Linked DNA regions of Danio rerio. The protein of the gene in region 1 purifies or fractionates together with the protein of each later gene. This does not show direct contact. Links are inferred from orthologs where the notes say so. Each region holds a gene or a part of one and is shown on either strand. Other genes may lie near its edges.

Region 1 (17,344 bases):
GAAGAGAAAGAGAAAGTAAAGAGACCAAATAGAGGAGGAGGCTCGTTCTTTATCCTCGTGCTGCAGATGGTTTGTTTGACTGTTTTCTTGTTAGTGAAGCTTTTTCAGTTTTTTTCATTTACAAAGTCCGCCATGTAAATAGCAACTGCACTATGGCGTGATGCAACTGACTCTTAAAGAGAATGGGGGATGGGACTCTTATTGGTTTATTCCCAAAACACACCAATAACTCATTAAGAGAATAAGCTCAACCCTGTTAGACCATGCACCAGGGCGCAGAGCGCATTTTTCTATCCTTAAAATAGCAAAAGTGGATTCGGACACGCCTTTAATACTTTTTCTCCCTTCGCTTTAGACTTTTCGCCTAGATCGTTAAAATAGAGCCCCTGAGTGACAGTTGTCATAAGCATGCATAAAATCTTATTTATAGTCATGATGTCACATCATAACAATTTTACGAACAAGTAAAGTGATCTCAGTAAATGTTTAATGTTTGACATTTTGTCCCACTTCTAATAAATCACTGAGATACACAATGCTACTACATTACTGATATTTCTCTTATAGAGATACTCACCTCAGTCAGTTTATAGCATCTGCAAGTAATCATGCTCAAATGGCAGCAGTAGCTTCAAAAATCATAAACTGTAATGTCATCGCATTTAGTCAGATCTCGTCACATTTAGGCAGAGAAATCTCTTCAGCATGAGAAGAACTCAATGTTGTCTTTATACAGTGAATCCTCTTTTTCTTTCTTTCTGCAGGTGAAGAAATCCACCACTGATTCTCATGCTCCAGACCCAGTAGACAACAGGTAACATCAGTAACACACATTCACACACTCATACACTCCCCTGAAATCCATTTAGGTGTTATTTATGAGTGCCAGTGACAGAGGACTATGAGAGCCAGTGGTTTTGTACACATAAAGACAGAGGGGGAGATGAAGAGAGAGGGATGTTAAAGTCATTGTGTGTGAGTGTGGGTGTAAAGCAGACGGCTTCACCTGGATAAAACATGACTGTCTTACTGTGTGTGTGTACTTTGGGAAGCCTTCAGAAATTTCGTGCAGATGTTTAGGCCATAATCATAGAAATAGGAGCAGCTCTGTTTCTATCTCTGATTGCTGTTATATTGTTTTGGACCACTGTCTTTTGGATTAATGTGTCTACTAAATTTTCCATTGTGGAATTATTACATTTTTATTATAGAATAATTATGCATGGCATTGGATGGGTGGATATATGAAATATTTCTATGTAAACAATAGTGTTTTGTCAAAAAAGTGGCACAAAAATTTAGTTAATGCATTAATAATAATAAATAATCATTTGTCAATATTTATTAATGTTAGTAAAATAAATAAATAAAATACAACTGTTCATTTTTAGCTGAATGTTTTTATATTGAGATTTTTTATTTTGTTTAATAATGTAATACATGTTTTTGCCATTGTAATGCCATGTTAACTAGTAGTGATATACAATGTTAGCAAATGCTAACTGATTTTAAACTGAATTGTTTAAAAATTGTTTGGTAAAACTTTAGTTTAGGTCACAATTCCTAAACTAGGTCTTATACTCTCTTATTACCTGCTTATTATCATGATATTACCTGTTCATTAGTAGTTATAAAGTATAATCTTATCCTGCATCCCTAATCCTGCCCAAAACTTCTAAATTAAAATGGCCAACTTCTACCTTACTATTACCAAACAGCTTATTAGTAGTTTATTAAGCTGGCTGTGTAGGTTAATGGTTAGTTAATACTGTGAATTGTGACCTAAACTTAAGTGTTATCAATGGTTTGAATCACTTAATGAAACTTAGCTTCCAGTTCCAAGCGCTCTATCAAACTGTGTTTAATAACAGTGAAATGACACAAGGAGAAAGTACTGAACTACTGAAACATATTTGATTGTATAGGAAGACTCAACAAATGTTAATAATAAATGTTTTTAAAGAGCTGTAATGCTTTTGAAAATCCCGATCGCAATATATATCGCCATTCATAATATCCGATGACCAGAAAATGATTCATTTTTTTATAAATTGTTCTATATTGTTGACTGTGATGCAGAAAGTCCAGAGACTGTTGTGTACACCATGATTTCATATAAAATTCACATAGTTAATGTGTGATTGGACTAAAATAAGAATGGTCATAAACAAATATTTTCTCTCAATTCAAATGAGTAGTGGCGTGTACCTGGAAACACTATTTCTTACGTCACAACTTAACAAGCGGATACAACCTAAAGTCATGTTGGGGGAAAAAAAAACTATTTTTCTTTATTGTACATTGCACTGAAAGAACATAGAGTGCTCAGCATAAATAAGTACACCCCTCACATCTTTTTTTATTCATATTTTCTTTATGATTTACAATATATTTGTGTATATACGTTAGATTAGTCAGTACTGAAACCAAAACTAGATCCAATCTAACACAAAAAGACTTAAGATCACAGTCCAAAAGTTCGTTCATTGATTCATTTTCCTTAGGCTTAGTCTCTATTTCAGAGTTTGCCACAGCAGAATGAACCGCAAACCGCAAAAGATGTCCAGCTGCAACCCAGTATTGGAAAACAAATGCAAAAATTAGTATATCCAATTAATATGTTATAGTAAAATATTAATCAAAATACAAAAACCACAAGAAACAGAAAATATCAAATTTAGTTGAAATTTTGTAATTTGTTTTTGCAATAACTCAAATTTAAATGTATTTTCTTTCTATACCGAAAGATGTTAGGTGACCAAAATCTTATTTTAATGTTGAAAACTGTTTAATAAAACTGTTTTGTTTAAGTGCGCCAAAATTATATTGGTATATTTTCTGAGAAATATATAATAATAAAATAATAATATACATGTTCAAAAGAAGGTGTACTCATTTATGCTGAGCGTTGTATATTAATTTCTTACTATAACATTATACCATATAAACATTATACACGAAATGCCAAAAATGTTTATTTTTTAATTCATACCATTATTAAAGAATGCAGGTAGTTACGCTGCACATGTAATAACCTATTAATTTTCATGCGGGTGGCTTAATGTTAAAAAAAGTAATCAATATATGTGTCGCTACATGGATTTCTGAAAGAAAAAAAGTTAGATTGCCGATAAACATGACCTAGATAAATTGCTTTCCAGTTTTCAGAGGTAAATCCTTTTAGAAGATGCACAAGTCAGGACAGATGGTTTCTTTGGCAGATGGTTTGACATTTGAGCGAGGGTCATATTATCATTCTTATAATGCCTAAGCAAGTTTTTGCTCACATTTTCTGCTTGGTGTGTGTTGCGGTCATTTTAGGGTCACTAAGATATTTTTAAATTTAGCCAAGCGAAATTAAATTAATCAAAAGTGACAGTAAAGACATCAGCAGATTAGACTGACTTCTGAATGACATTTAATACTGTAGACTGAAGGAATTAAGTTTAATGCCCTTAAAATTATATAGATATTGTAGAATAATTAACTGGATGAGTTGTTTTTTCATATTACTATATTGAAATGAGCTCTATCATATAAGCAGAGAGCAATTACCCCAGGTGCAAATGTGAAAGTTACTATTTACAAAAGTTTAATACACTTTCAGAAGTAAAAGGACAAAATCTGTAACTGGGGCGGTACCTCTTCAAAATGTATATTTTTGTTCCTAACAGGTTCTTAAAGGTACAAAAGTAAACCTTAAAGGTACAATAATTTTCCCTTAAAAGTACTTATTTTCATCTGTACGGTACAAAAGTGTACCCTTTTGAAAAGGTGACAGATTTTGTACCTTTATTTCTGAGTGTGTATATAAAACACCGCAGTATTGTGTTGTATATTAATCACAGTTTTGCCAGTTTTATTCAGTTTTCCCAATGCCAATAATAGCAATAACACCTCCACATAACTGTAAATAAAATGTACAGCACTTTATTTTACTACCTCATTATGTGTAATGTCCATTTAATTTAATTTACAGTGGAATGTTTCCACTGTCACGAGTTCCTGAACATGATTAATAATGGTATATGTTTAACTTAGTGTGGATTTAATGTATATTAAGGACACTGCACTTTATAAGACCTGGGACAGATTCGGGCACTTCCTGTTGTTCACACACTCTGAAGTGGCCAAGCCTGCAGATGTGAATATGTGGACAGTCTTACATTTGTTACTAAATTAGTTTGTTATTTGAACAAATCTATTTGACGAATAACTTAATGTTTACACACAATAAAATAACTTATTAGTAATTGGATTGAATCAGGCAAAAAAAAAAAAGTCTTCCTGTAAACCGCTTTAGCTGACACTAATTTGAGTGTAAGGAGTGGTTGATTCATTCAGTAACAAATGTAAGCCTGACCAAATAGGCATATCTGCAGTCTTGAACGCTTTCATTTATTTCAGCAGACAACAGATTTTTAAAGGTTTGCATTGCCTTTTTTTGTTCACGGAATGACGTATTTTCAACACACTAAATATTTGCAATGCAACACACACCTTTAGAAAAATAGCATTTACTAGAATTAATGAATAAGTAAATTAATTAATTGTTAATTTTTGTTGTAAACAAAGTAATCAAAATGGTGGTTTTGGTTCATTTGTAATTTTGTGTGGTTTGATATGTGATTATCATCATGTGATTAATTAAATAAAAAATGTAATAATTTGACAGCACTAATTTTAAAACATGTTAAATCATAAAACACTAGTTTTAAACCATAATTTTACATTTCACAGCATTATAGTTTTACTGTATTTTGGTCTATAGTGACAGTCTTACTGTTTCTTTCGAAAAATATGTACTTCCAATTGACAGTTGAAATCAGAATTATTCGCCCCATTTGAATTTTTTTCTTTTTTTAAATAATTCCCAAATGATGTTTAACAGATTAAGGAAAATTTCACAGTATGTCCAATAATATTTTTTTTCTTTAGAAAGTCCTATTTGTTTCATTTCGGCTAGAAAAAAAGCAGTTTTTAATTGTTTTAGAAACATTTTAAGGTCAACATTATTAGCCTCTTTAAGCTATTTTTTTTTTTTGTTAGTCTACAGAACAAACCTTCGTTATACAACTACTTGTCTAATTATCCTATCATCCTGCCTAGTTAACCTAATTAACCTAGTTAAGCCTTTAAATGTCACTTTAAGCTGTATAGAAGTGTCTTAAAAAACCTCTAGTCAAATATTATTTACTGTCATCATGGCAAAGATAAAATAAATCAGTTATGAGAAATGAGTTATTAAAACTATTATGTTTAGAAATGTGTTGAGAAAATCTTGTCTCCGTTAAACAGAAATTGAGGAAAAAAATAAACAGCGGGACTAATAATTCTGACTTTAACTGTGCCTACTTTTTATGTTGCAGGGCTTTGGAGATGCAGGAACTTACAGATGTCCAGCACTCTGTTAACAGTGGCAGTGACGGCACTTCCAAACTGGACAAAAACATCCTCAGCAACAACATCACGACCAATGGAACCGGAGGTAAGACAAATAACGAAAGAAAGAAAGAAAGAAAGAAAGAAAGAAAGAAAGAAAGAAAGAAAGAAAGAAAGAAAGAAAGAAAGAAAGAAAGAAAGAAAGAAAGAAATGAGTCAGACATGAGTAAGACATGAGTGAGTGAGTGAAATATTAGCTGATAAACAGGCTCTTTCAGGAAATCAGCTGTGTTTCCATTCACTCTGTTTTCATTATATTGCAGTTTTTACAATAATTGAAAGCAGGGGTCAGTCCTGGTGTGTGATGCCTGGACTGCAAGAACAAAAGTGTTTCATGTTCATTGTGGTTTTGGTGCTGTTCAGAGCCGGTTTGGTGGATTAGGGTCAAGATGATCTGGGCTCAAATGGTCAATCGCTGCGGACAGGCCTGAAAAGTGCCTGCATGTAAAAAAGTTCATTTGTGCTGAAAGGTTTCCCAGCGTGTTTCAGCAAGAGCCTGGTGCACAGAAAACTATTTCCTGCGTTTAAACTCTCATTTTCTCTCTGATGTCAACACACGCTCGCTCGCTTTTCTCTCCTTGAGGAAAACGCTGAACAAACGTTTTAAGAGAGAACGTTAGGCAAACATACACAAGGCTAAATAGACTCTCAACACCCTGGCAAGCGAGTGTTTGATGTATGGCTATGACTAAGAGACGCACAAGAGAGGTAGTAAAGTTTGGAGACCCTGGAGAGAGAGAACGAGAGTGTGTGTGTGTGTGTGTGTGTGTGTGTGTGTGTGTGTGTGTGTGTGTGTGTGTGTGTGTGTGTGTGTGTGTGTGTGTGTGTGTGTGAGCTCATCTGTTTTTGACATGTAGCCGGAATAAAACAATAGCATAAGAGCGAGAGACTAAAAAGAGCAGAACTCAGTAAATCATTTAGATTAGAGCTCAGCTAATGATTTTAACAGCTTGACACACACACATACATACACACATTTATACACACACACACACGCACAGGGATTGTGCTTCTGCCAAAACAACGACATATTCAACATTCTCCTCTGTCTACCTCATCAGCTCACAGCCTAGACTGAATCCCTCCACACACACACACACAAACATGCAAACCGCCCACACAACCACCCACACACACAGACACACCACGACACACACACACACACACACACATCCTGACATGAATCCCACTGCCAGTGAAGCCTCATTCATCTTACTTTAGAGGACTTTCGCTCTCTCCCGCACAAACACACGTTAATTCCATTTTTTGGAATTGAGATGTTTTTTTTGTTTTTTTTTGCAAATGTGCCTTTGACAGAACTGTCATAAACTCAGCATGTTAAAACATGGTTTTGGAAAACTTCTATTATTTGTATGAACATATTTCTTATTTTAAGGGCACCAGGAGGTATAGATCTGTTGGCAAATGGTTTTGAGACTATACACTACCTTGTCACCTATTCTAGGAACAACAAATAATAACTTGACTTCTAGTTGATCATTTGGTATCAGAAGTGGCTTATATGAAAAGCAAAGGCCTCTAGATTACGCTTATTTTACCAAAATACAATATGATCATGCCTTGATTTTTTGATTATTTAATTAGGACAGTAAGGTCTGACTTTGCTTAGACAAAAGTCTTGTCACTTAACTGAAATAATGTACAGTGTAGAATATAAAGTCATGGTGCAGTGGAAAAAGAGTTAACATTGTGTATGACTCCCAAGCTTGGACGACTCCATCAGTGCATCTCTGCAATGACTCAAATAACTCATTAATAAAGTCATCTGGAATGGCAAAGAAAGTGTAAGGACTCCCAGAGTTCATCAAAATTCTTTGGATTCATCTTCAAGGCCTCCTCCTTCATCTTACCCCAGACATGCTCAACAATGTTTTTGTCTGGAGACTGGGCTGGCCAATTCTGGAGCACCTTGACCTTCTTTGCTTTCAGGAACTTTGATGTGGAGGCTGAACTATGAGAAGGGGCGCTATCCTGCTAAAGAATTTGCCCTCTCCTGTGGATTGTAATGTAATGGCACCTCAGGCTGTTGATGTTGTCATCCTCTCTGCAGATCTCTTGCACGCCCCCATACTGAATGTAACCCCGAACCATGATTTTTCCTTCACCAAGCTTGACTGATTTCTGTGAGAATCTTGGGTCCATGCGGGATACAATAGGTCTTCTGCTGTATTTGTGGTGATTGGGACGCAGTTCAATAGATATTTCATCAGAAAAATCGACCTTCAACTTTTCCAAATGATCAACTTGAAGTCAAGTTATTATTTGTTGCTCTTACAACTGAGATCGACAGCAAGAATTTTGTCAGGTAGTGTAATGAAGGAATTCTGTGTTTTGATTGTTCAATGGTTCAGATTCAACCTTTCACTCTTAAATAATGATTATAATCTCTTTGTAATAAATATTAATCATACTTATTATTAAAATGTTTCGACTCTTCATAAAAAAAACTATAACTTTCTGAAAATTATTCTTAAACAAATTAGCCAGTAATTTTTTTTTTCAGAATTCAGTTCCTATGGAAGTTAAGAAAGGATTAAGCAGGTGTGGTTTCATCACAGTAAATATCGATTAACTATTGATAATATTTATGCACTAATACATGACAACCAAAAATACAAACTGTTTGTCTTTATTTTTGACACTATTTCTTTATCATTTGAAATACAGAAATGTTTTATGGCTATGCTTGAAAAGTGTGTTTTAAATTAAAATTACTATATTAAAATAAACCAATAGGGTAACACTTTAGTTCGGGTCACAATTCACGGTATCAACAAATCATTAACCAAATGCTACTAGCTTTTTTAGCTATCTAGGCAGATAATAAACCAGAAGTTAATAGCATGAATTGGGACCTAAACTAAATTGTTACCAGTTATAGATATAAAAATAAAGGACTGTATTATTTATATTAATGATTTATAAATTTCATTAATGTGATTTAATAATGGGCGACACGGTGGCTCAGTGGTCAGCCTCACAGCAAGAAGGTCACTGATTGGGTCAGTTGGCATTTCTGTGCGGAGTTTGCATGTCCTCCTCATGTTTGCATTGGTTTCCTCAGGATGCTCTGGTTTCCCCCACAGTCCAAAGACATGCAGGATAGGTGAATTAAATAAACTAAATTTGCTGTAATGTATATGTGCGTGTGAATGTGTGTATGGGTGTTTCTCAGTACTGAATTGTAGCTGGAAAGGCATCCGCTATGTAAAACATATGCTGGATGAGTTGTCTGTTCATTCCACTGTGGCGACCGCTGATGAACAAAGGGAATAAACTTAAAGAAAATGAATGAATGGATGAATGAATGAATGAATGAATAATTTATTAAGATTAATGCTAACTTATTGCAACATATTTTGTGTATTGTGTTGTATATATTTTTTCTGTTTAATATTTCAGATAATTGCAATCTAATTACATGTCTAAATAGTTTAAAGGTAACTGTAAGTGCTAAATTCCTAATATTTACAACTAACTGGATAATACAGTCCACTATACATTTGACTCCGCCCCCCAGGAGAGAACATGACAATTCTAAACACGGCTGATTGGCTGCTGGGCTGCAGTTCCCCGCCCACTGCCCCAAGTATGAAGAATGATGGTATACTGCATGTGTTTGTGGAGTGTCTTATATGACAGCACGTGTGTGAGAGTTTGGGTGCAGTGCTTTTATTCTTCTTTCATTTTTTCACACTACTTTCAAAGTTTTTATTATTTTTTTTTTTTTTAGTTTTTAGTTTTTATTCAGTTTAGAGAGGTTTGAGAGCAGCTGACAGGATGCCTTATATGTTTTTTTGGTCTCTCTTTTTAAAGTTAAGTCTGAGCCTCTGAACAGCAGTGAAGCCGTGAGTTCAGCAGGAGACTCTGGGCTGGACACTTACACTGGGTCAGGTAAGACACACAAACACACACACACACGCATGCTGAATTCAGAATGCCTCCTATAATCCCGCTTGGGAACTTGGTGAAAGCTCTGAGCCCTCAATCTTTGTACTGCCCTTGAGCTAACGTCATCAGAGCCACAAACTCTTTATTTAGATCAATGTGCTCACACACTCACACATACACACGCACACACACTCAAAGACTGAGAAAGCCTCTGTACATGCGCACCCCTGCAGAGAAGGCTGAGGCTGACAGGGGATTTTGATGTCTCTATAGAGAAGACGATATTCGGTTATATGCAGTGTGGAAAATGTGTGTGTTTGTCTTATTTTCAGTAAAAATATCTTATCTTAAGAAAACATCAACTTTATAAGATAGGTACTCTGAGAATATAATGAATATATCTATTTTTTAGAGATGCACGATAAATCGGTGGCTATATGGTTATCGGCCGGTAAATGCTATTTTTAATGTTATCATTGTCGGTCCGATGTCAAAACTACGCTGATATTTTTAAGCACAATAAATGATGTCATTGTACAGAATTGCCTGCCTCACGTTTTGTTTTTTAACCTATTATTTTTATGCAACAGTCAATCACCTTGCAATTTTGAAATTATTGCTTTTTTTTGCTTTGAATATGCTTTTTTCAAGATCTGTTCAAACTTTTATGAAGTTTTTTAAATAAAATCAATTGTTCACTGTACAAACATTTTGAAATATTTATATTTATCAGCTAATATATCGGTTATTTGCAAGACAATGCAAATACACATTCTGCACACATTAAAACTCCTGGCTGCAGAGGAAGAGGAAGCAAGTACTTGACTGACCTGCCTGCAGTCCCGACTTGTTTCCAATAGAGAATGTGTGGCACCTTTTAAACTGCAAAATGCGAAAACAAAGATCCTGTACTGTTTCCCACCTTAAGGCTTGTTTGCAGGAAGAATGGAACAATATTACACCTGAAACACTTCATCACTTGGTGTCTTCAGTCTCTAAATGTCTTTTAAGTGTTGTGAAGAGGAATGGGAACATTACAAAGTGGTAAATGTTTTACTGAAATGTGTTGCACGAACCAAAATTAGTGTGTTAATTTAGTAAAAAAATATATATATAAAAATCATGAGAACAGTTATTTCTGAAGCAGGATTCCTCGTGACCATGCCTCAAGCAGTAAATGTTAAGATGCAGCAATGTTAATTCAGATGCTGTGCTCAAAAAATACTTTAGTAATTTATAGTAAGTACTATAATGTTTTTGAACTAGACAATAGTGAAGTACAATAAGTTGTAAAGGCTAAAGTATTCTATGGTAATTACTATTAGTTCATGATAGTTACTAATGACAGTATATTATGTAACGTTAGTGTTATTCATTAATGAAGAGTTGTAAATATATATACAATATAGTGCTTGTTCCTAAATATTTCCCTTTACTACAAATTACTATAGTGTTTTAAATGTGTAACACCTGGTTTTGTTGGATTTGTTTTTTATTTTTTATTTTTTTGCTGTTATATACTATGATTTGTTTCTATTTAGTACAGCATATTATTTGCCATAGGTAATTGAACTAAATAATTCTGCCTCATATGTTTCATTAACAGTTTTATTGATCACTTATGGAAAAAAAAGCATAGATGTAGCTAAGTTACTTTTGCCAAGTAACTTTTTGCTTAGCTTGCTACATTTCCTAGAGGGTAGCTTAGTGTAGTTAAGCTACATTTTAAGTAGACTAGCTAATAGCTCAGCTCACTACATTTTTCAAGTACTGTAACTTTCCCAGAACTGGTGATATGTGATGTGAATGTTGATGTAATTATGTGGTGAAGCCAAAGATAAGTTGATAAATTGAAGCCAAAGATAAACAATTAATAAAGTCATAGTCATAAAAAGTCATATTTTTTAATTTAGAAAAATACCATTCAGACATTTTATTGAAAAATAAGAAGCAGCATTGATTAAAATAGATGGAATAGTGGAATTGGGGAACGTTTTATCGAAGGAAGGGCTCAAGGAGAGAGAAGAGAAAAAGAAGGTAGCAAGAGGAACCAGGATACTCTTTGATGTAGTAGAAGGTTTTCGAGAGAATAGTTCCTGTTATTTTTTTCTGCTGTTTGTTAAATTAAATCCAGCTGCTGAAAAAGGCTGTGAACTGTCAATCAAAACAGTGTGTATGTGTGTGTGTTTGAATTTGAACTGAAGACTCTTGGCAAATTCCCTTCAATTGGAAGAAGTCCAGCACACATTTTATTTTATGGTTGTGATGTGCAATAAATTACACATTCAGTTCAACGACAACTGACGTACAGTCCTGACTGCGGATACATCCCATTGTTTAGGTGTGTGTTTGCCATTGTGCATGTAAAAATGATTTAGTCTCTCCAGCTAATTTTTTTAAAATTTTCTTTACGTTTGTATAGTCATAAGCAGCAGTGGATTCAGTCCCCGGCCGGCACACCAGTATTCACCTCCTCTCTACCCTTCAAAGTGAGACATGTTTATGAATAATTTAGATTGATAACACTAAAACCATTTTCTCTATGGCTCATCAGAGTTATGAACCAGCCAAATTAATAATGGCACTTTGTCAACATGGTTGCAATCCTTGATCTAATGAAATAAATGTTATGATTGTGTTTGATTGGCAGGCCTTACCCTCACATCCTCACTACCCCTGTGGCTCCGCCCATGTCAGCCTACACAGGCCAATCACAGTTCAGCAGCATGCAGCAGTCAACAGTTTACACGCCCTATTCGCAAACGACTCCACCCTACGGCCTCTCCACCTATGGTAGGTTTTTACCATTGTTTTTATACTGTATAAAAAAATTTAGAGACCACTTCACTGTTTATCCGGATTCACTACAGTAGATACTGATGAGTTTGAGTAAAATGTTAATATTTGTTTAATCTTTAAAAAAAGGTGTGATTAATTTTTTATAATTTTCTTTATTTATTTAGTTATACGATTGATCTTTTTATGTAAAAAGTTACATTTCTATTTTACATTTGGAAGAAATGTCATCAGAAGTTTACAGAATGACCAAAAATATATATATATATATATATTGCTCAAAGGCTTATCTATTTATACATCTCTAGAGAAACTCTGAATAAACCAATAATAATATTTCATTTTAATATTAAAATTCTCTTTTGAGAGCTGAAGTGGCAGTGTGCCGATTTTTTATTTTTATTTTTTACTTCAATAAACCAATCAAATCAATTTTAAGAGATATATTTTTAAATTGTTCATGTTTGTACATGCATTTTTTTGTACATATTTATGACTCTGCAATTGCGATAATAAGGCTTAGAATTTATTGTACTTCATGTAAATGTTGATGTAGAATCATGCAAAAGGACTTTTAGTGTGCAGTTTGATTGACAGGTCCACTCTCTTGATCTTGAGCTACAGATTTGGGGGTGATGTTGCCAGGGATAAAGACAGAAGGAGGGCTTACACAGACCCAATCAACCCTGCAGTCAGGGCTCAGCTACAGTCCTGGATTTACCACCCCTCAGCCCGGACAGACAGCCTACTCCCCCTATCAGATGCCAGGTATACATATTATATGGCTATGCTACAAAAATGACCATTAAGAACACAATATTCCTTTTTTAAGGAAAATTATTGTCAAAATAAGCCTACTCCTTGTGCTAATAAGAAGACAATAATAATCAAAAATGTGTGTTGTGCATTTTTTACATGAATTTGATGTTTTTAATGGTGCAGCTCACCTAAAAAAGGCCATTGTTATCATTATTTGCATTTATACATGTAATATTTTGTCAGGCACATTATAGTAGACATTGCTAAACAATCATTATGCATTATACAATAAAAGGAACTATTTTTTGTAAAATCTGAGTAATAAATAAAACATCAGATTGGGTTATGTACAATGCTAAAGTTAATTTTAAACCATTTTAAACCATTTGATCTAATTAAGATTTTATGCCATTTGCTCTATTTTTTCTGGTTGTGCTTATCTGGGATATTATCATAAACTAAACTAATAAAAATTTGTTAATTATAATGAATGTAAAATAAATATATTAGTTGGATATTGTAAAAAAGAAAATAGAAATGTTGCCTTGGAAAAAATGAAGCAAAAAATGATAGCATAAATCAATGTAATTATTTGAAAGAAAGCTAATAATAAATGACAAAAGCACATAACTAAAACTGCTAAAGAGAAAAACTGGAATGAAAACTGAACATAAAAAATGCTAATAGAAACTAAAAGTATATTAAAAGAATTAAAACAAAACTGGTAATTATCAATGAAAAATCTGTTTTTCACAAACCATTACATCTTCAGAACAACATAATAACCATGCATTATAAGCAACTATTATGGTATTAAGTTGCATTATTTGATGCTCTTTGATGCTTGAATGTTTTGAGACTTGGCTGTGGGTCAATTAATCAAGAAACCAACCAACAAATTTTGCATTGAAGAAACAAATTGGGGACTTCGAGGACAAGACAAACACTTAATACACAAATGCACTTTATTAAACATGTACTCATAGACATCACCTAAAATAACCAGGCAGTCACTTTATTAAGTTAACCTTACTAATACCGAGTTGGACCCCCTTTTGCCTTCAGAACTGCCTTAATCCTTCATGGCATAGATTCAACAAGGTACTGGAAATATTCCTCTGAGATTTTGGTCCATATTGACATGATAGCATCATGCAGTTGCTGCAGATTTGTTGGCTGCACATCCATGATGTGATTCTACCGTTCTATCACATCCCTAAGGTGCTCTATTGAATTAAACTCTGTTACTATGGAGGCCATTTGAGTACGGTGAACTCATTGTCATGTTCAAGAAATCAGACTGAGATGATTCACGCTTTATAACATTGTGCGTTATCCTGCTGGAAGTTACCTTCAGAAGATGGGCACACGGTGGTCATAAAAGGATGGACATGGTCACACAGCCTATTTGAATTGTAGCCTCAGTTTCTTGTTCTTAACTGACAAGAGTGCCACATGGTGTTGTCTTCTGCTGCTGTAGCCCATCTGCCTCAAGGTTGGGCCTGTTGTGCATTCAGAGATGCTTTTCTGCATACTTCGGTTGTAACGAGTAGCTATTTGATTTAGTGTTGCCTTTCTATCAGCTCGAATCAGTCTGGCCATTCTCTTATGACCTCTTGCATCAACAAGGCGTTTGCCCCCACAAAATTGCTGCTCACTGGATGTTTTCTCTTTTTTGTTCCATTCTCTGTAAACATTGGAGATGGTTGTGCGTAAAAATTCCAGTAGATCAGCAGTTTCTGAAATACTTAAACCAGCCTGTCTGGCACCAACAACCATGTCATGTTCAAGGCCACTTAAATCACTTTTCTTCCTCATTCAGATGGTCGGTTTGAACTGCAGCAGATCATCTTGACCATGTCTACATGGCTAAATGCATTGAGTTGCTGCCATGTGATTGGCTTATTAGAAATTTGCGTTAATGCAGTTGGACAGGTGTACGTAATAAAGTGGTCGGTGAGTGTACAGTTGAAGTCAGAATTATTAGCCCCCCTGTTGATTTTTTTCTCTAATTTCTGTTTAACCGAGAGAAGATTTTCTCAACACATTTCCAAACATAATAGTTTTATTAACTCGTTTCTAATAACTGATTTATTTTATCTTTGCCATGATGACAGTAAATAATATTTGACTAGATATTTTTCAAGACACTTCTATACAGCTTAAAATGACATAATAGCTTAATTAGGCATGTTATTGTATAACGATGGTTCGTTCTGTAGACTGGGCGACGCAGTGGCGCAGTAGGTAGTGCTGTCTCTCACAGCAAGAAGGTCGCTGGTTCGAGCCTTGGCTGGGTCAGTTGCCGTTTCTGTGTGGAGTTTGCATGTTCTCCCTGCGTTTGTGTGGGTTTCCTCCGGGTGCTCCTGTTTCCCCTATGCACAGTCCAAAGACATGCGGTACAGGTGAATTGGGTAGGCTAAATTGTCCATAGTGTATGAGTGTGAGTGTGTGTGAATGTTTCCCAGGGATGGGTTGCAGCTAAAAGGGTATCCGCTGCGTAAAAACAAGCTGGATAAGTTGGTGGTTTATTCCGCTGTGGCGACCCCGGATGAAGAAAGGGACTAAGCCGAAAAGAAAATGAATGAATGAATGTTCTGTAGACTATCAAAAAATATATAGCTTAAAGGGGCATATATTGTAGACCTTAAAATGTTTTAAAAAATTAAAAACTGCTTTTATTCCAGCCAAAATAAATCAAATAAAACTTTCTCCAGAAGAAAAAATATTTTCAGACATACTGTGAAAGTTTCCTTGCTCTGTTTTTCTGCTCTTGCATTTGGGAAACATTTAAAAACAAACAAAAAAAATTTAAAGGAGGGCTAATAATTCTGACTTCAACTGTGTATGCTACAAAATTACAGGTTAACTTTGCCTGTATATAATAACTTATTTTTGTTTGTATCTTTAACTTAATTTGATTGTAAGTATTTTGCACCTTTTGTAAAGCTGCTTTGAAACTACAGTTATTGTTAAAAATCGCTGTACAAAGAAACTTGTAAGTTGTAATAAAAGATCTATAATTTATCTATTTTGATGTTTTGCTTTTGGTGATGCCTGCTGCAAGTCTCTTTCACAACTTGCATTCATTTAAATGCTGTCATTTGTATTTTCTATCTTTCTCTCAGCAGGTTCAGGTTTTACAACCTCTCCTGGTCTCTACACTTCCAACAACTCCAACCCAGGAAATTTCACCACACAACAGGTACAACTGCACATGCACAGATGAACGCACACAAACACCAATAACGTCAGAGTTCAGCACCGGACCAGCCTTACAAAACAACCTAGGCCTCAGAGAACAGGTCACCATCCTTCATGCAAGAGAATTGATGCTTTTAGGACTTAATGTTTCCCTAAACTTTTATGATTAAAAGTGCTGCCAAAGAAAAGGACCCAGCTACACTCTGACTCCCACTGATGAATTTAGCTGTGTAAACAAAGCAAGGCTCTGGCGATGGTTGAAATGAAGGAGTAAGCGGAATTAGGATGAAATGAGAGTGAACGCAGTAGTGGAGTTTCTCGGAGAGCGTTTTACTGCGCCGTTCGTGTTCTTGAGCGAGTGAGTCAGTGACAGCTTTAGAGTTGCCTCCCGTAAGAGATCCACATGTAAAACTCTCTCGCTCAAAGATACAAGAGGAGTCAGGGAGTGATAAAAAGCTCTGTGTGGAGGAGCCAGAAATCTGTATGTTCCAGTCCTGTTGCCTTGTCTCCTCTCCCTTTATCGTTCCCCCGATTATCAACTCCCTCTCTTTCTTTTTTATTCAAGATAAAGAGAAAACCTATATACATTTCGCGTTATGCTAAATTATAAAGCTAGATGTCAAACTGTGGTGTTTATTTCATTCACAGTAAATTGGCTACAAAAACTTATGAATGATTGCTTTAGTCCACTGAGCGCACATTGACCTTTTCAAGAGTTTACACTTAGATATTGCTTGATACTAATAGCAGGTATAGCATGCTGTCCCAGGAGAGAACCCTGAGCTCGGTAGTTCTCGAGAGCTCCCCCTGAGAAAGGAGGAAAGGGGGAAATGGGGTGGATGATAAAGGAAGTGACGTGAAATGGGTTATTTATTGTAGGTTTGGATTAATCTGTTTGTTTATTAATGATTGCAGATGAGAGACCAGCCGTGATCAATCATATCACATTCTCCTCTCGAAATTAGTATATCAAACTTCACTTATGGCAATGTTCCTATCATGCTATATCACTAATTTGACATTAAAAGCCTATTGAAGGCCTTTGAGTATCATTTAAACAATTAAATAATTATGAGCAACTTATGAACATCCAAATATGTAAAAGGTTGCAACGAATCAGTTTATGTATAATAAATATACATTTTAAGCATTTTTCATTCATTTTTCCTAAACTGAAATGACAATACAACAAATGTGAAATGTATACTAAACTGAATATTTTATGCAAAAT
Region 2 (17,113 bases), on another chromosome or scaffold:
ATTTTTCAGACTTTAATCGTACAAACAAAATCTAAAATCAGTGCATCGATAGACAAAAGTTGTTTTGTGGTATTTATTTGGTGTTGTTTAAAGAACTGCATGAAAATAATCCTTTATTCATCAATAATATAAGCCTGTAAATATTATTAGTGTGAAAAGAAACAGAAGTTGTTGCCCTGTTGCGTTCATTTTACCTAGAAACTGCAGTTAAATGTATGTTAATATAAATAAGTTTTTTTTTGTTTAACAAAAATGTAGGCTGAAGCACAACCTTTTTTCAACACATTTCTAAACATATGAATTTTAATAGCTAATTTCTAATAACTGATCTCTTTTATATTTGCCATGATGACAGTACATAATATTTCACTAGATATTTTTCAGGACACGAGTATTCCACTTAAATTGCGATTTAAAGGCCTAACTAGGTTAATTAGTTTGATTAGTTAATCCAGGGTAATTAGGCAAGTCATTGTTTTTTTTCGGTAGACCAGTGGTTCCCAAGGGGGGTTTCACAGGACAATGAGGGAGGGTCGCTTGGCAATTTCCAAAAATCTAATTCCTTTTATTAAACTATTAGAATTAGCATATTTATCCATAACCTATTGAAGAACAAAATAGTAGTTAATAGTAACATTGTTAAAATGTTAATGATAACTATTAAAAAACAACATGCAAATAAAAAGCCATCAGCCTTTCTATCTTTTTTTTTGCAACCCATAGGGTGATTACGTTATATTAAAGACAATATATTAAATATATATATTAAAGCAATAGCGCCAGATGCAGCACATTCATTTTATAGCACCAGGTTAAACTTTCTGAGCACTCACATACATTAAAAATATAATCAGGCTACAAGTGGAAAAAACTGGGAAAAAGTTCTTGTCAAAAATAAAAATTAATTTTTTTTTCTGCATGAATACTATACAGATCGAGAAAACCAATACCAGAACTTGACTGTTTTAAGCTTTTAAGAACTGACTGTTCATTCATCTACATTAGTGGCAGCTATTCTGTTTCTTGCCTGTTCAGCATGGATTGCCATCACTTCTTTATTAAAGCTCGAAGAAAGAGAATGTGATGTACTGAATATACGCGCGTGTGTGTCTGTTTGACAAACGATGGATTAATAAAGCAGCTAATCAAAAATAACAACCACACAGACTGGGAAGTATAAGAAAGATGTTCTTGTCTATTGCATTTGTGTCATCAGCACTTCTATGCTTAGGAAAAGGAAGATAAAATGAAGAAGTGCTGACCAATTTATTAAACACCCACATGTGTGCAGTTAGGACAACTCACAGGCATGTCTGCATAGAAGTAATGCTTCCTATCGAACAGTGACTTCTTGTTTATGGTGCAGTTGAGAGCAAGGCCTGTTAATACAGCAGCCTCCACACATCTTCTGTTCAGCACCTTAGGAAATGTAGTGGTAAGACATAGAACAACCTCTATAAATGCAAAAATACATTATACAGTGCATTCGGAAATTATTGATAGCACTTCACTTTTCCCACATATTTCTATGTTACAGCCTTATTACAAAATTGATTCATTTAATTTATTTCCTTAAAATTCTACACACAATACCCCATAATGACAATGTGAAAAAAGTTTTTTTTTAAATTGTTGCAAATTTATTAAAAATAAAAACCTGAAAAATCTCAAGGATATAAGTATTCACAGCCTTTGTCGTAAAGCTTTAAATTGAGCTCAGGCACATTCTGTTTCCACTGATCATTAATTAATTAATTGGAGTTCACCTGTGGTAAATTCAGTTGATTGGACATGATTGGAAAAGGCATACACCTCTCTATATAAGGTCCCAGGGTTGACGGTGCATGTCAAAGCACAAACCAAGCATGAAGACAAAGGAATTGTCTGTAGACCTCCGAGACAAGATTGTCCCGAGGCACAAGGCTGTGGAAGGTTACAGAAAGTTTTTGCTGCTCTGAAAGTTCCAATAAGCACAGTGGTCTCTATCATCCGTAAGTGGAAGATGTTTGTAACCACAAGGACTCTTCCTAGAGCTGGCCAGCCATCTAAGCTGTGTGATCGGGGGAGAAGGTCCTTAAACAGAAAGGTGATCAATAACTCGATGGTCACTCTGTCTGAGCTCCAGCGCTCTTCTGTGAAGAGAGGAGAACCTTACAGTAGGACAACCATCTGTGCAGCAATCCACCAATCAGGTCTGTACGGTAGAGTGGCCAGATGGACACCACAGCCACCTGGAAGCCACCAAAAAATCTTTGGTCTGATGAAATTGACTAAAATTGAACTCTTTGGAGTGAATGCCAGGCGTTACGTTTGGAGAAAACCAAGCACCGCTCATCACCAGGCTAATACCATGCCTACTGTAAAGCATGGTGGTGGTGTTTTTCAGCAGCAGGAACTAGAAGACTAGTTAGGATAGAGGGCAAGAGGAATTCAGCAATGTAAAGACATCCTGAATGAAAACTTGCTTCAGAGTGCTCTTGACCTCAGACTGCGGCGATGGTTAATCTTCCAGCAGGACAATGACCCAAAGCATACCACCAAAATATCAATGGAGTGGCTTCACAACAACTTGGTGAATGTCCTTGAGTGGCCCAGCCAGAGCCCAGACCTAAATCCTATTGAACATCTGTGGAGAGATCTAAAAATGACTGTACACCTGTCACTGTTGTGGTTGGGAAAAAGGAGCGTGGACTCAATTGCAGAAAATGATATGGGTTTTATTAATGATAAAATACAAATAAAACAAAAAGGCTAAACAAACTACCCCGAGGGGGAAAACATTACTATAACACAAACAAACTTGGCTGGGCTGGCAAGACAAGACTGGAGCAGGAGCAGGAACACAGCGGGAGTATAGAAGACAAACTGGCACAGGACAGCAGACATGAGGAGAATATAAACAGAAGCAAATTAACACAAACAGATGAACATAATTAACTAATAATGGGTTAACAAGGAGGGTGGGATTAGACAATAGACGGGAGAGCACATGACACAGAGACAACACAAGCCATGTGCTCACATAAAACAGGACAAGAACAAACAGCCAATGAGAGAACTCATTAACCACGCGTTCACAATAACAGGACAAGACTGAAGCACGTGGTCACAATGTAAACACAGAGCCATGTGCTTAGACGCAAGACACGAGCACACGATAGATGAACACCTTACCGTGCGCTCACACATATGTCTCATCTCAGCGTCAACCAAAACCGAAACCAACTAGACAAAGATGCTGAGAATGAAACAGCACGATGCCGACAGAACAAAACACAAACACGAGTACAAGAGCGCGCGTCCGAGGCACGCAGAGCTTCGACACCTCCGACGGTGTGTACACACAGAGACACACGCACAACGACAGAAACAGGACAAGACAGAGCTAGTGTCCGGACTCTGCCACCAAAACAAGAATTTACAAGACCAGAGTGGCAGAACCCTGACAACACCGTCACTTCCCATCCAACCTGAAAGAGCTTGAGTGGTTCTGCAATGGGCAAAAATTCTCAAAGACAGGTGTGCCAAGCTTGTGGCATCAAATTCAAAAAAACTTGTGGCTGTAATTGCTGCTAAAGGTGCATTAACAAAGTATTAAGCAAAGGCTGTGAATACTTCTATACAGTACATGTAATTATTCAGTTTTTATTTTTAATAAAACTGCAACAATTAAAAAAAAATCACATTGTCATTATAGGGTATTGTGTGTAGAATGTTAAGAAAATAAATGAATTTAATCCATTTTAGTAGAAGGCTGTAACATTAAAAATGTGGAAAAAGTGAAGCGCTATGAACACTTTCCAGATGCACTGTATATACAAACAAATATGTTTATTTTATTGATTCACTTACTGGCAGTGTCCCTGGTAATGAAGCATCAAAATGAGAGACAAGTGAGTTTGGTGGATCAGAGAAACTAACATGAGATCCAGAAAAGAGCTTTGATTTGGAGTGAATCTGAGCATGGATTTCTAGACCCACAACACCGACCATCTGAGGAAGACTAGAAAACATAGAAAAATTAATGATGAGGAGGTCAAACCTGAAAGTTTCTTTCATAATTAAGGCATTTCGAGAATATTATAAAATGATTAAATAAATTATAAAGCTAAATGCTGGTTTCATAAGGATTTAATTTTGGTGAGACCAGGGGCAAGATTCACTAAAACCTTCAACAGAGGTACGTTAAGAAATATATTAAGGCAAGTAAGGCAAGGCAAGTTTATTTATATAGCACATTTCATACACAGTGGCAATTCAAAGTGCTTTACATAAACAGGAATAAAAAAGACAAGTTTATTAACATAAAATGCAGACAATAAAAATTATTAAAAACAGATAAAAACAAATTAAAATGAGTTAAAATAGGTTATAAAAGAATGAAAAAGAAAACGAAAAACATAATAGTGTGATCTGTCGGACGCAGCACAGTGCTCATTCAGTAAAAGCACAGCTAAACAGATGTGTTTTCAGTCTTGATTTGAATGTGCCTAATGTTGGAGCACATCTAATCATTTCTGGAAGCTGATTCCAGCAGTGAGGAACATAGTGACTGAAGGCAGATTCACCCTGCTTTGACTGAACTCTTGGAACTTCTAGTTTATATGATCCTAAAGATCTGAGTCATCTGTTAGGTTTGTATTCAGTGAGCATATCTGTAATGTATTGAGGTCCTTGGCCATTTAGTGATTTATAGACCAGTAATAATACTTTAAAATCTATTCTGAATGTAACTGGCAGCCAGTGTAGAGACCTGAGGACAGGTGTGATGTGCTCTGATTTCCTGCTTCTGGTCAGAATTCTGGCTGCAGCATTCTGGATGAGCTGCAAGTGTCTGACTGTCTTTTTGGGAAGGCCAGTGAGGAGTCCATTACAGTAATCCACCCTGCTACTGATAAAAGCATGAACAAGTTTCTCTAAGTCTTCACTAGAAACAAAGCATCTGATTCTTGCAATATTTTTCAGATGATAGTATGCTGATTTACTGACTGCTTTGACATGACTGTTGAAACTCAGATCTGACTCCAGAGTCACACCAAGATTCTTGACCTTATTTTTTGTCGTTTGACCTTTAGAGCCAAGGCACGCATTCACCTTGAGAACCTCATCTCTGTTCCCAAACGCAATGACTTCAGTTTTCTCTTTGTTTAACTGAAGAAAATTTTGGCACATCCAATTTTTAATTTCACGTATTAAGATAAACTCTGAGGAGTTCTTAAGAATTTTCTTAAGCATAACTCTTGTAAAAAAAAAAAAAAAAAAAAACTCAAGTGGAAAAGTGGATTTCTTTCACATATGAATAACTTTAAAGTATAGTCTACAACAAATCATTATAGCTTATGTCTTAGCATCAAAATTAGCATCAACATCACAGTCAGGTTTTTGACATTAGCCATCAAAAGACAATTTATACACAGAAAAAAATGTAAACTACTCATCAAATTAGACATGTACGACAAGAAGAGAAGCAAATTGCATTGATGTTGTTGTTGTTGTCTCTTTTGGTCAGATGGCCTCTCAATTTAATGTCCCTAAAGCTAATTTTTTCAGATATTTACAAATTCAAGATTCTGTGCGCAAAAAATAATTGCTTCAGATCTGGACACCATACTGGGCATAGATCCCTGTGCTAAATGTTCAATTTCTAAATTATTTAATATAATTGTTAATCTGCAATTTTCTTCTGATAACTACTGGTCCATCTGGTCTCGAGACATTGGAGTTGACATTAACGAGCGACAAGGAAAGCGGTCTCGAACAGGGTTAATTCTTCCTCTGTGCACGGCACATGTCCATACAATACATGGTAGTGCATATAGCTCATTGGTCCAAGAGCAGGCTAGCTTGCATCAACCTGTCTATTGACCCTGAGTGCGACAGGTGTCATACTGGTTCAGCTACTCTTATCCATATGTTTTGGTCCTGTCCTTTACTCTTGTTGTCTGCTATTACCACTGTTCAAATTCCACCTTGTCCAATTATTGGTTTATTTCGGGTTATCCTACCCGGGCACACTTTACCCTCTCATTTGCTAGAGTTTGTAGCCTTCTTAACCCTTCTGGCTAGGCAATTATTCATCTAAACTATTTTCATTAAACTGTGAGAACCCCTTCGCAAAAAATGGCCAAACTCTTCAGCTTAACCCCTTTCTTTCTGATTGAGTCCACACCCCCTACTCCCATATATACATGTATATAAAATAAATTACTGGACTGCACGTGTGTTATCAGACTGTGTGTACAGTACATCCACACTTGATTACTGACCTTGACTTTTTGTGTGCCTTGTTAATGTACATTATACTGTGTCATTAATACCACAATTGCTGGCTAATAATGTGCTTGTTGAAAAAAATATTTAAAGCTTTATCTGCCTTAAAACAAAATATATGATTATATTCCTTTAAATGAAATTTATCACAGTTCGTTAATAAAAGTACATTCAAATATATTTAAAGGGCAGAATGGCAATGTTAGTTTGCAGTCTTTTATTCTTTATATATATATATATATATATATATATATATATATATATATATATATATATATATATATATATATATATACATATAAAGAATAAAAGCTGGCTGGGTAAATGCTTGCTGTGTACTTATATATAAGTACCCAGCTAGCAAAGTTCACAGTTCACGGAATATACTTTATTCTTTATATATATATATATATATATATATATATATATATATATATATATATATATATATATATATATATATATATATATATATATATATATTATAAAAGACGGCAAACTAACAATGACATTCTTCCCTTTAAATATTAGAATGTACTTTTATCAACGAACTGTGATAAATTTATTTAATCATTTAAATTCATCCATCATTTAAATTCATCCATCATTTAAATTCATTCATCATTTATTTAATAATTTAAAGGAATATAATCATATATTTTGTTTTAAGGCACATAAAGCTTTACATATTTTTTCAACAAGCACATTAGCCAGCAATTGTGGCATTAATGACACAGTAACATGTACATTAACAGGGCACACAAAAAGTCAAGGTCAGTATTAAAGTGTGGATGTACTGTACACACAGTCTGATAACACACGTGCAGTCCAGTGATTTATTTTATCAGAGCCGAGAAAGACTGCTTACATACGGGTCACATTGGAGTGATTGTCCTACCTACAGAGCACTTTGCAGGACACTTGATGCCTACCTTTCAGTCTGTGTATTTAGCTGATGTTGATGTTTGCATCCGGTTGTCCATGTTGTCCTTATTATGAAGTTAGAATTACCAATATGGCATAAACTTTGTGATTTATTAGCATATTTCCTCAGCCTGAAGAGTACACCGCTGTATCCTGAAGTGGAGGCTGCCATGCTTGTGTTTATGTGAGGGCAGCTGGGACATGTAGTTTTACGGAGCATTCAGAAACTCGCAACTCTGCTGCTGAATGATAAGGAAAAAACTCAACTCCCACAATGCCACAAGCGCAACGGCGGAGTTTCCGGCGGTTACTTATGACGGCATTCACGATCCGCGAATACATAACTGAGGGGCAGCTGGTGGCGGGAGATTCACGCACGGTACTGCACGTGAACGATCAGTTTTTGGCACTTCTATATCGTCAGAACTTTTTATTTCAATAACAATGGCACTGCAGCACAACGGCACCGCTTCCAAACTGGCCAAACACAACGGCGAAACTAGCGATCATCACCCCTCTACAAACGGAAAGGAAGAAGCCGAGCACGAACACGCTGATCGGTTCACTTTCACCTCCGAACCAACACTTGAAGACATCCGCCGCATGCAGGCTGAGTTCACGGACGAGAGGAACTGGAACCAGTTTCACCAGCCGCGGAACCTGCTTCTGGCTCTGGTAGGAGAGGTCGGCGAGGTGTCGGAGCTATTCCAGTGGCGTGGGGAGGTGGCGGAGGGTCTACCTGACTGGACCGAACCGGAGCGGGAGCATCTGGCCCAGGAACTCAGCGACGTTTTGATCTATCTGGTTGAACTGGCCGAGAAATGCCACGTTGATTTACCTCGAGCTGTCCTGCGCAAAATGGCATTAAACCGACTCAAGTACCCAGCTAGCAAAGTTCACGGATCAGCTAAGAAATACACTGAATACAAGGACTGATGTGGATGATGTATTTTAGACAAAGACGATCGTTACTGAATAGTTTATAACAGATGGAGCTGATACCGAGTTCCTTAAAACCCCCCTAAAATCACCGTGCTCCTAAAGGTCCTAGTTTTCTTCGTTTAATCTACAGGTGGACACTCTACTCTGTTTTAGGTTGATCTTTTAAAAATCTGAATGCAAGAAACTTGTTTGCACATTTTCCTACTGTAAGCAGCTAAAGTTTTATAGTTGTTTTCTTTTATTTTCCAAATTATTTTACCAAAGCTGTTCTGGACAACGTTACTTTGTACTGTGTAGTGTTTTTGCATGACAGTAAAGTGTTTTGCAACACACATGGTCTGTTTGCAGATATTTACTCTGGAAACTGGAATGTTTTTGTTATAACAGCTAGATACGTTGGCTCTCTAAGTGTTCAGTGTTTTGGATGTGCATGAACCCTTAACAGTATAGCATCTTAATATATGGTCCCTCAAGATGCTTCCTATTCTGGCAGAAGATTTGAACCTGCACTCAAGTCTATATATATATATATATATATATATATATATATATATATATATATATATATATATATATATATATATATATAAACTGCATGTGCGATTATGATCAGGATTGCAGTTAAACTTTATTCTAACAATCTGTCTTTATTGATTAAACTGTTTCCGCAAAGACATGTCATCGGTTATGTGGTTGGTAATAAAAAAAAAAAAACACTTTAAAGGAGGAAATCTCTGTACCAGTAGTGCATTTGTATGCAATTTAATTTGGCCTCAGCATTAAAGTTAGGCAGAGCTCCCAAAGTACTGCTAGAACAGCTTTTTTTTTAATTAAAAAAAAATATATATATATATATTTTTTTTTTTTTGAAAGTTAGTAATATTTTCATTCCTTTTCTTTTCTGGGGTTTTTACAGTGGAATGAACACCAACCTTATCCAGCGTATGTTTTACACAGCAGATGCCCTTCCAGCTGTAACCCATCACTGGACAACAAAAACATCCATACACACACACACACACACTGCTAACAATTTAGCTTACCAAATTCACCTATAGCGCATGTCTTTGGACTTTGGGGGGAAATGGAGCACCAGGTGGAAACCCACACCAACACAGGGAGAACAAGCAAACTTCATACAGAAACACCAACTGACCCAGCCAAGACTCGAACCAGCAGCCTTTTTGCTGTGAGGCGAACGTGCTACCCACTGTGCCACCGTGCAGCCTAGTAATATATTTTAACTTGGGTAAATGTTTTTTAAAAGATCCAATTTCCTGTCAAAAAAGTTTGTATAGTAATTTTTATTTTTTATGTCTTTTATAGTTAAAACCAAATAAGCCAACACAATTTTGTGTAAGAACAAATATTTTGTGAAAGTACACATTTAAGAGATATTCAGAAATGCATTTCTTAATACTGAATATATTAGTTCATAATGACTGTTACCTTGTTGTCCACTTGCATACTTCACTTACACAATCACAACTAATGCAGTACTGTGCTTATTATGTAACCTGAAAGTTAGCATGACTTGTTGCCTCAACAAAAGCTGAATAGGACTTTGCCTTTTGTGTTATGGCAGAATGACTAAACCTTTTGTTCAATATGATAATCTGCACTGCTTTTAGTAACTGTAAACCAGGGGTGTCCAAACTGAGTCCTGGAGGGCTGGTGACCTGCTGAGTTTAGCTCAAACTTGCTTCAACACACCTGCCTGGAAGAATAGTATATCTAGTAAGAGCTTGATTAGCTGCTTCAGATGTGTTCGATTGGGGTTTGAGCTAAACTCTCCAGGACACTGGCCCTCCAGGACCGAGATTGAACACCCCCTGGACTAAATAATGTGGAGTAAAAAGCTAAAATTAGGCTACACAATGTAATGTTTCACAATAAATATCTGTTTTCTGTACAATAATTTGTACAATAAACAAACAAAAAAAAATCTTCATAAAACTGCGGGGATCAGGGACCTGTAAAGCAAGAGTTGTATTTTAAATTAGCATATAGGAGATAATGCAACATCAACCTGTAAAAATAGTTTACCAAACAGCACATGGCTCCATATTTCATCACAGTGTTGCATTGACCCTTTTTATTCAGTGTTTCACATGTGAAAGGTTAACAAGTGCTGATTACATGAAGCAGCCTGAAGTTGGTATATCGGTTATCAGCTAATTATCGACTAGCTAATCTGTTTTCGCTAGTGAACTCCTGATTGAAATAATTTGAAAGTTGACAATTTACTCGCCCTTAATTGGTTCCAAACGTTTGAGTTTTTTTTTTTTAATTTCTGTTGAACGCTAGCAAAGATATTTTGAAGAAAGTTAGAAACCTGTAAACATTGACTTTTTTTAAGCAGGAAAAGCATATACTATGAAAGCCAATGGTTATTGTCGATTTAAAACATTTTCCTGTTTTTAAAAAATAAATAATAAAGTAAATAATGCCAGAATTCTCTATTTTAGATGAACTACTACTTTAACCCTACACTTCTTTCATATTTTAGTATTTTGGTTCAAATTGGGTCACTCTTAACCTGTTGTTGAGAACAAAACATGTCAACATTCATATGGAAGCTAAAATCCATCATGACAGCTCTCACTGGTTACTTTGGGAAAAGATGGATATGGAACTCTAACTAGCAAAGTTAAGTTCTGGACACATAATTAAAACGGCTCAATAGTAGATGTTTGGTCTCCTGAGCTGAGTGTCACATTATTAAGATGCTCATGCACTCAGGAGCAACATTAAGATTGAAGACTGTTAGATGAACCATTTGACAAAGGCAAAGCTGGCCATTGTGGCACAGATGATTTCGGTGCATGTATAGCATATTCAAGTTCATCATTAGATTATTTAAATGTTCATTTTCATAATTAATTTTTTTTCCCAGAGCCTTTTCTTTACAGAACTGCATTTTCTCACTGCCCTGTTACTGATCACACATCAGAGCAGGGTGTGATCAATAGATTTGATCTTCTTCCAGCTCTCTGCTGCCGGTCGAAGAGGGCAATCATCAGCATTCCATTCTGACTGGATTTAAAAGATTCATCTGTTTTATCAGATGAGCAGACTGTTAGATAAGCCCTCAGCAAATGAAGCTGTTTTTATTGCAGTTTCAAAGCAACAACAGCATAATCCAAATGATGCTAAGAACTTGCATCTCCCAGACACCGTTGATCTATTGTGTGTATCTCTCTCTCTATGGGTCCACCATGGTGGGGGGCAGAGTGAGCTGTCAGCATCTTGCACCATAGGGGACGCAGTACTGCTGCTTTCTCCCTCGCTCTGTGATTTTTCATGCCACTCAGACTTTAGTAGCCAGACAGTGATTTTCCCAGCATCTGTTTTTCATTTGATGTCATTCAGAGCTGACTATGGAAGGCCTGCCACAGTCTTTGTCACTCTTTCAGTTCTGTACACAAATGTCAAAATCCAACATGCTCTTTCTTCTCTCTTGACAGCTGAAAGCATTCTCAGAATTAAAAATCTTGAAATAGTGCTTTTAAAAAGCTTATTTTGGCCTATTCTTAAGAGTTGATAGGCGTTTTTCCAAATCCACAATAACCGGTTTCTTTGAATGGGGCTATTTTCTTTTGAGTCGTATCATCAAGTCTTATTTATTCCCTGAAAGAGAAGTCCACAGGGAATGAAAACACCAACTTCTCTTGCCCTTTTCACAGGCTTCTCATTTCATCCCATTTCTCCTAATTTCCCCTAATTACACTCATTCTAACGGAGATACCACAAAACAGACTGATTTTTGATAAGATTTGTATTTGTTATTTGTATTCAGTTCACCACAAGACATATAAACATGGAATTCCTCTGAAATTTGACTGAAATGTCAAGATTACAATAGTGCTATTCAGAATTGCATATAAAAAAGAGGTCAAATTTAGAGGGCCACAGCAGCAGAATATAATATACTGTAAGACAGAAACAATTGTCTGGTTTTGAATCCATTTATTCTTTTTTTTTCATGGATACAACAACCTTACTCTATTTCACTAGTAAGGAACCAACAAACTGTGCCAGAGGACTAAACTCCCATAAAGAGACAATCTATCAATATGTACACTCATCGGCCACTTTATTAGGTACTCCTTACTAGTACCAGGTTGACCCCCTTTTGCCTTCAGAACTGCCTTAATCCTTTGTGACATAGATTTAAAAAGGTACTGGAAATAATCCTCTGAGAATTTGGTTCATATTGACATGATAGCATCACACAGTTGCTGCAAATTTGTTCGACTGCACATCCAAGATGTGAATCTCTCGATTCCATTCCACCACATCCCAAAGATGCTCTATTGGATTGAGATCTGTTGAATGTGGAAGCCATTTGAGGACAATGATGATGGGTACACTGTGGTCATAAATGGATGGACATGGTCAGCAATAATACTCGGGTAGGCTGTGGTGTTGACGCAATGCTCAATTGGTACCAATGGGCCCAAAGTGTGCCAAGAAAATATCCCGCACACGATTACACCACCACCACAAGCCTGAACTGTTGATACAAGGCAAGATGGATCCATGCTGTCATGTTGTTGACACCAAATTCTGGCCCTACCATCTAAATGTTGCAGCAGAAATCGAGAGTCATCAGACCAGGCAACGTTTTTCCAATCTTCTATTGTCCAATTTTGGTGAGCCCGTGCGAATTATAGCCTCAGTTTTCTGTTCTTAGCTGACAGGAGTGTGGTCTTCTGCTGCTGTAGCCCTCAAGGATGGACGTGTTGTGCATTCAGAAATGCTCTTCTGCATACCTCGGTTGTAACGAGTATTTGAGTTACTGTTGCCTTTCTGTCAGCTCAAACCAGTCTAGCCTTTCTCTTTCCTCTGGGATCAACAGGCATTTGCGTCCACAGAACTGCCGCTCAGTGGATATTTTCTCTTTTTCGGACCATTCTCTGCAAACCCTAGAGATGGTTGTATGTGAAAATCCCAGTATATCAGCAGTTTCTGAAATACATCTGTCACCAATAAACATGCCACATTCAAAGTCACCTAAATACCCTTTCTTCCCCATTCTGATGCTTGGTTTGAACTGTAGCAGATCATCTTGACCATGTCTACATGCCTAAATGCATTGACTTGCTGCCATGTGATTGGCTGATTAGAAATTTGCATTAACCAGCAGTTGGAAAGGTGTTTCTAGTCAAGCCCTGTACAGTTTTAAAGAACCCTTTTTTATTAGTAAGTTCATTCACTTCGCTATATATATATATATAAAAAAAACATACTTAAACAGCACTTTGTGTAAACAATTTTTTTTTTTTTTCTATCCGCTTGTTAAGTGTGATGTCCCGCAAAGCGGCTTCTGGGTCTAAGCGCTCTATCAAACTGTATGGGGAGACTCAACAAATGTTAATAATAAACTTTTACAAAGCGAAAAAAAAAAAAAAATAAAAAAATAATATATATATATATATATATATATATATATATATATATATATATATATATATATATATATATATATATATATCCCTAATATCCGATGGCCTGCAAGTGATACATTTTTTATAAATTGTTAAAATATTTGTTTTTGTGATGCAGCAAGCCCGGAGATTGATGTGTACACTATGCTGTTATATAAAATTCACTTTAATGTGTAGTAGGAATAAAAATTGGAAATAAACGAATATTTTCTTAATCACGATTTTCATCAATTCAAATGAGTAGCGGCTTGGACCCAGAAACAGTATTCCATACATCACGACTTAACAAACGGATTGTATTAAAAATTTTTGTTTTGCACCAATAAACAGGTTGTAATTTCAAGAAAGCCACAATATTGTAAAATCTAACAGAAAAACTTGACTCTAGATTGAACTTCAAACTTTAATTGTCTTTAATATATATATATATATATATATATATATATATATATATATATATATATATATATATATATATATATATATATATTTTTTTTTTTATTTTTATTTTTTTTTGTCAGCTAACTGCTTATTATATTCAGCTCCATGCCTCCTTTCGGATCCAAACTAATCCCCCTGCAGCTCTGAATCTGTTGTTCTGAGGTGTCGTCCGTATAGATCCAACAGAACAACCTTTTCCCACAGGATGAAAATGAAAGGCAAGAGTGCACTTTGTAACATCCAGTCAGTCAAATCAAAGCGTTGTACTGTGGAGATGGAACAGCCCTGTATGGGGAAAGAGCAGTTAGTGAATTTCTCACAATGACACTAAAGTGGCACACGTTCCCAGAGCAATAACATCAGCACATTTTCAGTAATGGCTCTGATGACTTCAGTCTCAATATAAGTGGACCAAAGCATGGGGCAAACGCAACTCAGATTCCATCACTTATTTCTCACAAATCCATCAAAGGTGTGTAAGAACAGGATCAAAGATGAAGTAAAAGTGTACTACACAGCAACAATTTAATTAGAGATTATAGTAATATTTACAGAGTCCCTGTTTCAAAATATCTATCTATCTATCTATCTATCTATCTATCTATCTATCTATCTATCTATCTATCTATCTATCTATCTATCTATCTATCTATCTATCTATCTATCTATCTATCTATCTATCTATCTATCTATCTATCTATCTATCTATCTATCTATCTATCTATCTATCTCAATTCATTTTGAGCAAGAGACTGGCTTTTGCAGGTTCTCCATGGTGTTTTGCTATTTTTATGTGTTGTTTTGCAAAATTTCAATTCTGATCTGAGAATTGTATACCAAAGCGATTGAGAAAAACTCTAATTTAAGATATTTCACTCTGGAAATAGTTTTATGGTTAAAACTAATAAATAAATAAATAAATAAATAAATAAATAAATAAATAAATAAATAAATAAATAAATAAATAAATAAATAAATAAATAAATAAATAAATAAATAAATAAATAAAATAAAATAAATGATAATAAAACATTTATAAAATTGAGGAAAAAACCTTGTCAAAGTTCTTAATAAAATAATTTTAACAATATCAACAAAACCTTTCATTCAAAACCATTTTAAAGACAATTTCAAGTTTTTTAAAAAGAAAAAACTGTCATGTTTTTAGTATTAATTTTACAATTTAATTGTAAAGCACTTTATGCATTTTCTTGGGAGGTGCTCTAGAAACAAACATTACTTGTGCGTTTTAGTTTCCTTCTAAAACAAAATTATGTTACTCAATCATTTGCTGTTTATTTATTATTTTCTACTCATTTACTTTGACTTAATTACCAACCAAATCTGCTTTTTTCTTATTTTCTCATGTTTCCATCTATCTATATACTATAAGTTTAAATTAGAATTTAATAACAGATTCTAATTATTCATACTTTTGAGTGATGCACACAGAGAGTGTCTTTTTATCTAGCTGTTGCTGCTGTAGCTCTGTAGTTTCCCTCTCAGGATGAAAGACTCCAACTGACGTCTCTCTTGAGAGGGCGGCAGACCATAATGGCAATCTTGTATTCAAGATAGTTGTTGCCATGTAGGATTGTTGCTATGGAAGAGATTCCAATTGACTTGCTGTACTAGCAATCAGAACGGACCACCGGTTGCCTGAAAGTTGCCACTAGAGGGCATTTTTCACATGCGGTGCATTGCTTGGAATATATGACTGAAATGAATCAAGTTTGAGTTTGTGATACATGTAGATTCATGTAAACGCAATTAGTTTGGAGATATTTTCTTGGCTTGTGTGATTATTACATTTATACATTAAGAGACTTATTTGAATACACAAACAGAGTCATTTACATTGCATTTACATTAAATTTATGCATTTAAAAGATGCTTTTATTCAAAGTGACTTTCAAGTGAGGGATACAACAAGCGATTTGCCATAAAGAGGTAAAATGAAATACAAAGTTTCAACGATTTTTAGATAATAAAAGCCAGAATAGGGAGTTTTTTTATTTTCAAATGATTCTATAATGTTCATGTTCCCGACTACTAGCAGTTCAAACTTGTCCTCTCTAGAGGGCATATGCAAACTTGAATATCTCCCACCTCCTGCTGTAAAGATGGCATTTAGGACTTATAGAGGTGGGGTTAAGCAACATTTTTTTCCTCCTTAGAAAATTATGCCATCTATCACCACAAGTATATGGGAAAATGAAAAGTAAGTGCCTAATAATTTTTATTGAGCAATTTGTTTTCTTGACATGTTGACATTTGTTTATGAATCTTCAAAAGATTGATTAACTTTGTAATGTATTGCAATATTATATTTTATTTACTTTATTGCCACTATAAGTTTATTACCTTTTCTCAATTCTTTCTATTGAGCAGGAAGGCATTCACTGCTAGAGGCGAAATAATATATGTAAATTTTTGATGAAAAGTGAGAATTTTGAGATTGTGTACAAAGCACATGCATCAAGGTGTCGTAAATCTGGTTTTAAAAACAAAACTCATGTGATGTCTACTGAGTGATAGCAAATCCATTGTGTTTAAAAGATCCTTTCAGAAATATTATTGATCATAAATCAGAAAAAAATCTAAGTTTCAATGTGCTACATTAACATTTGCTACAGATGAACAAATTTGTCATATATCTAATTTGCAATTTCAGGTAATTTAGAACTGAGAAAACAGAGTTTTTGAGACATTTTCAACTTTTTTACCAGCTATGGGTTGATCTTTACAATTATATTATGTCAAATGTGCTGGATTTAGAAAAGATTTGAGTTTTGCTCTAACCCTGATCAAACAAGAGGGGTCAGGATGCAGACTTGGTGCAGTGCAATCTGAGCTACATCCAATGCTTTTTAATGGGTTCACCTAATCCCACCCCTAACCATACCCCTCACAGTAACGTCACTAGTTCCATTGAGTGCATTGTGTCGGACGCTGAATCACTGAGAGATGCAGTCTCAGCTTGCATCATAAAGGCTGCATCCATACTATTGGATCAAACACTGATCCAACTTATGAATGTGTTCATGACTTTTTAGAACACCTCGATTATTTGGATCAGCTGTGTT

Evidence for each region.
Region 2: the proteins of eya4 (region 1) and dctpp1 purify together in Homo sapiens (affinity purification with mass spectrometry; 3 studies listed by BioGRID and IntAct, with this or other methods). This does not show direct contact. The link is inferred for Danio rerio from reciprocal best matches to the Homo sapiens genes EYA4 and DCTPP1.

The regions. Positions count from the first base shown.
Region 1 is NC_133198.1:34,408,387-34,425,730, reverse strand, and holds part of eya4 (eyes absent homolog 4), read left to right. Parts: intron 1-764; coding exon 765-814; intron 815-5,369; coding exon 5,370-5,488; intron 5,489-8,983; coding exon 8,984-9,067; intron 9,068-9,279; coding exon 9,280-9,357; intron 9,358-11,776; coding exon 11,777-11,843; intron 11,844-12,004; coding exon 12,005-12,147; intron 12,148-12,768; coding exon of another isoform or gene 12,769-12,774; coding exon 12,775-12,918; intron 12,919-16,037; coding exon of another isoform or gene 16,038-16,040; coding exon 16,041-16,114; intron 16,115-17,344. UniProt on the Homo sapiens protein: Tyrosine phosphatase that specifically dephosphorylates 'Tyr-142' of histone H2AX (H2AXY142ph). 'Tyr-142' phosphorylation of histone H2AX plays a central role in DNA repair and acts as a mark that distinguishes between apoptotic and repair responses to genotoxic stress.
Region 2 is NC_133176.1:26,145,080-26,162,192, forward strand, and holds dctpp1 (glutamyl-tRNA(Gln) amidotransferase subunit B, mitochondrial), read left to right. Parts: upstream 1-7,522; 5' UTR 7,523-7,638; coding exon 7,639-8,130; 3' UTR 8,131-8,859; downstream 8,860-17,113. UniProt on the Homo sapiens protein: Hydrolyzes deoxynucleoside triphosphates (dNTPs) to the corresponding nucleoside monophosphates. Has a strong preference for dCTP and its analogs including 5-iodo-dCTP and 5-methyl-dCTP for which it may even have a higher efficiency.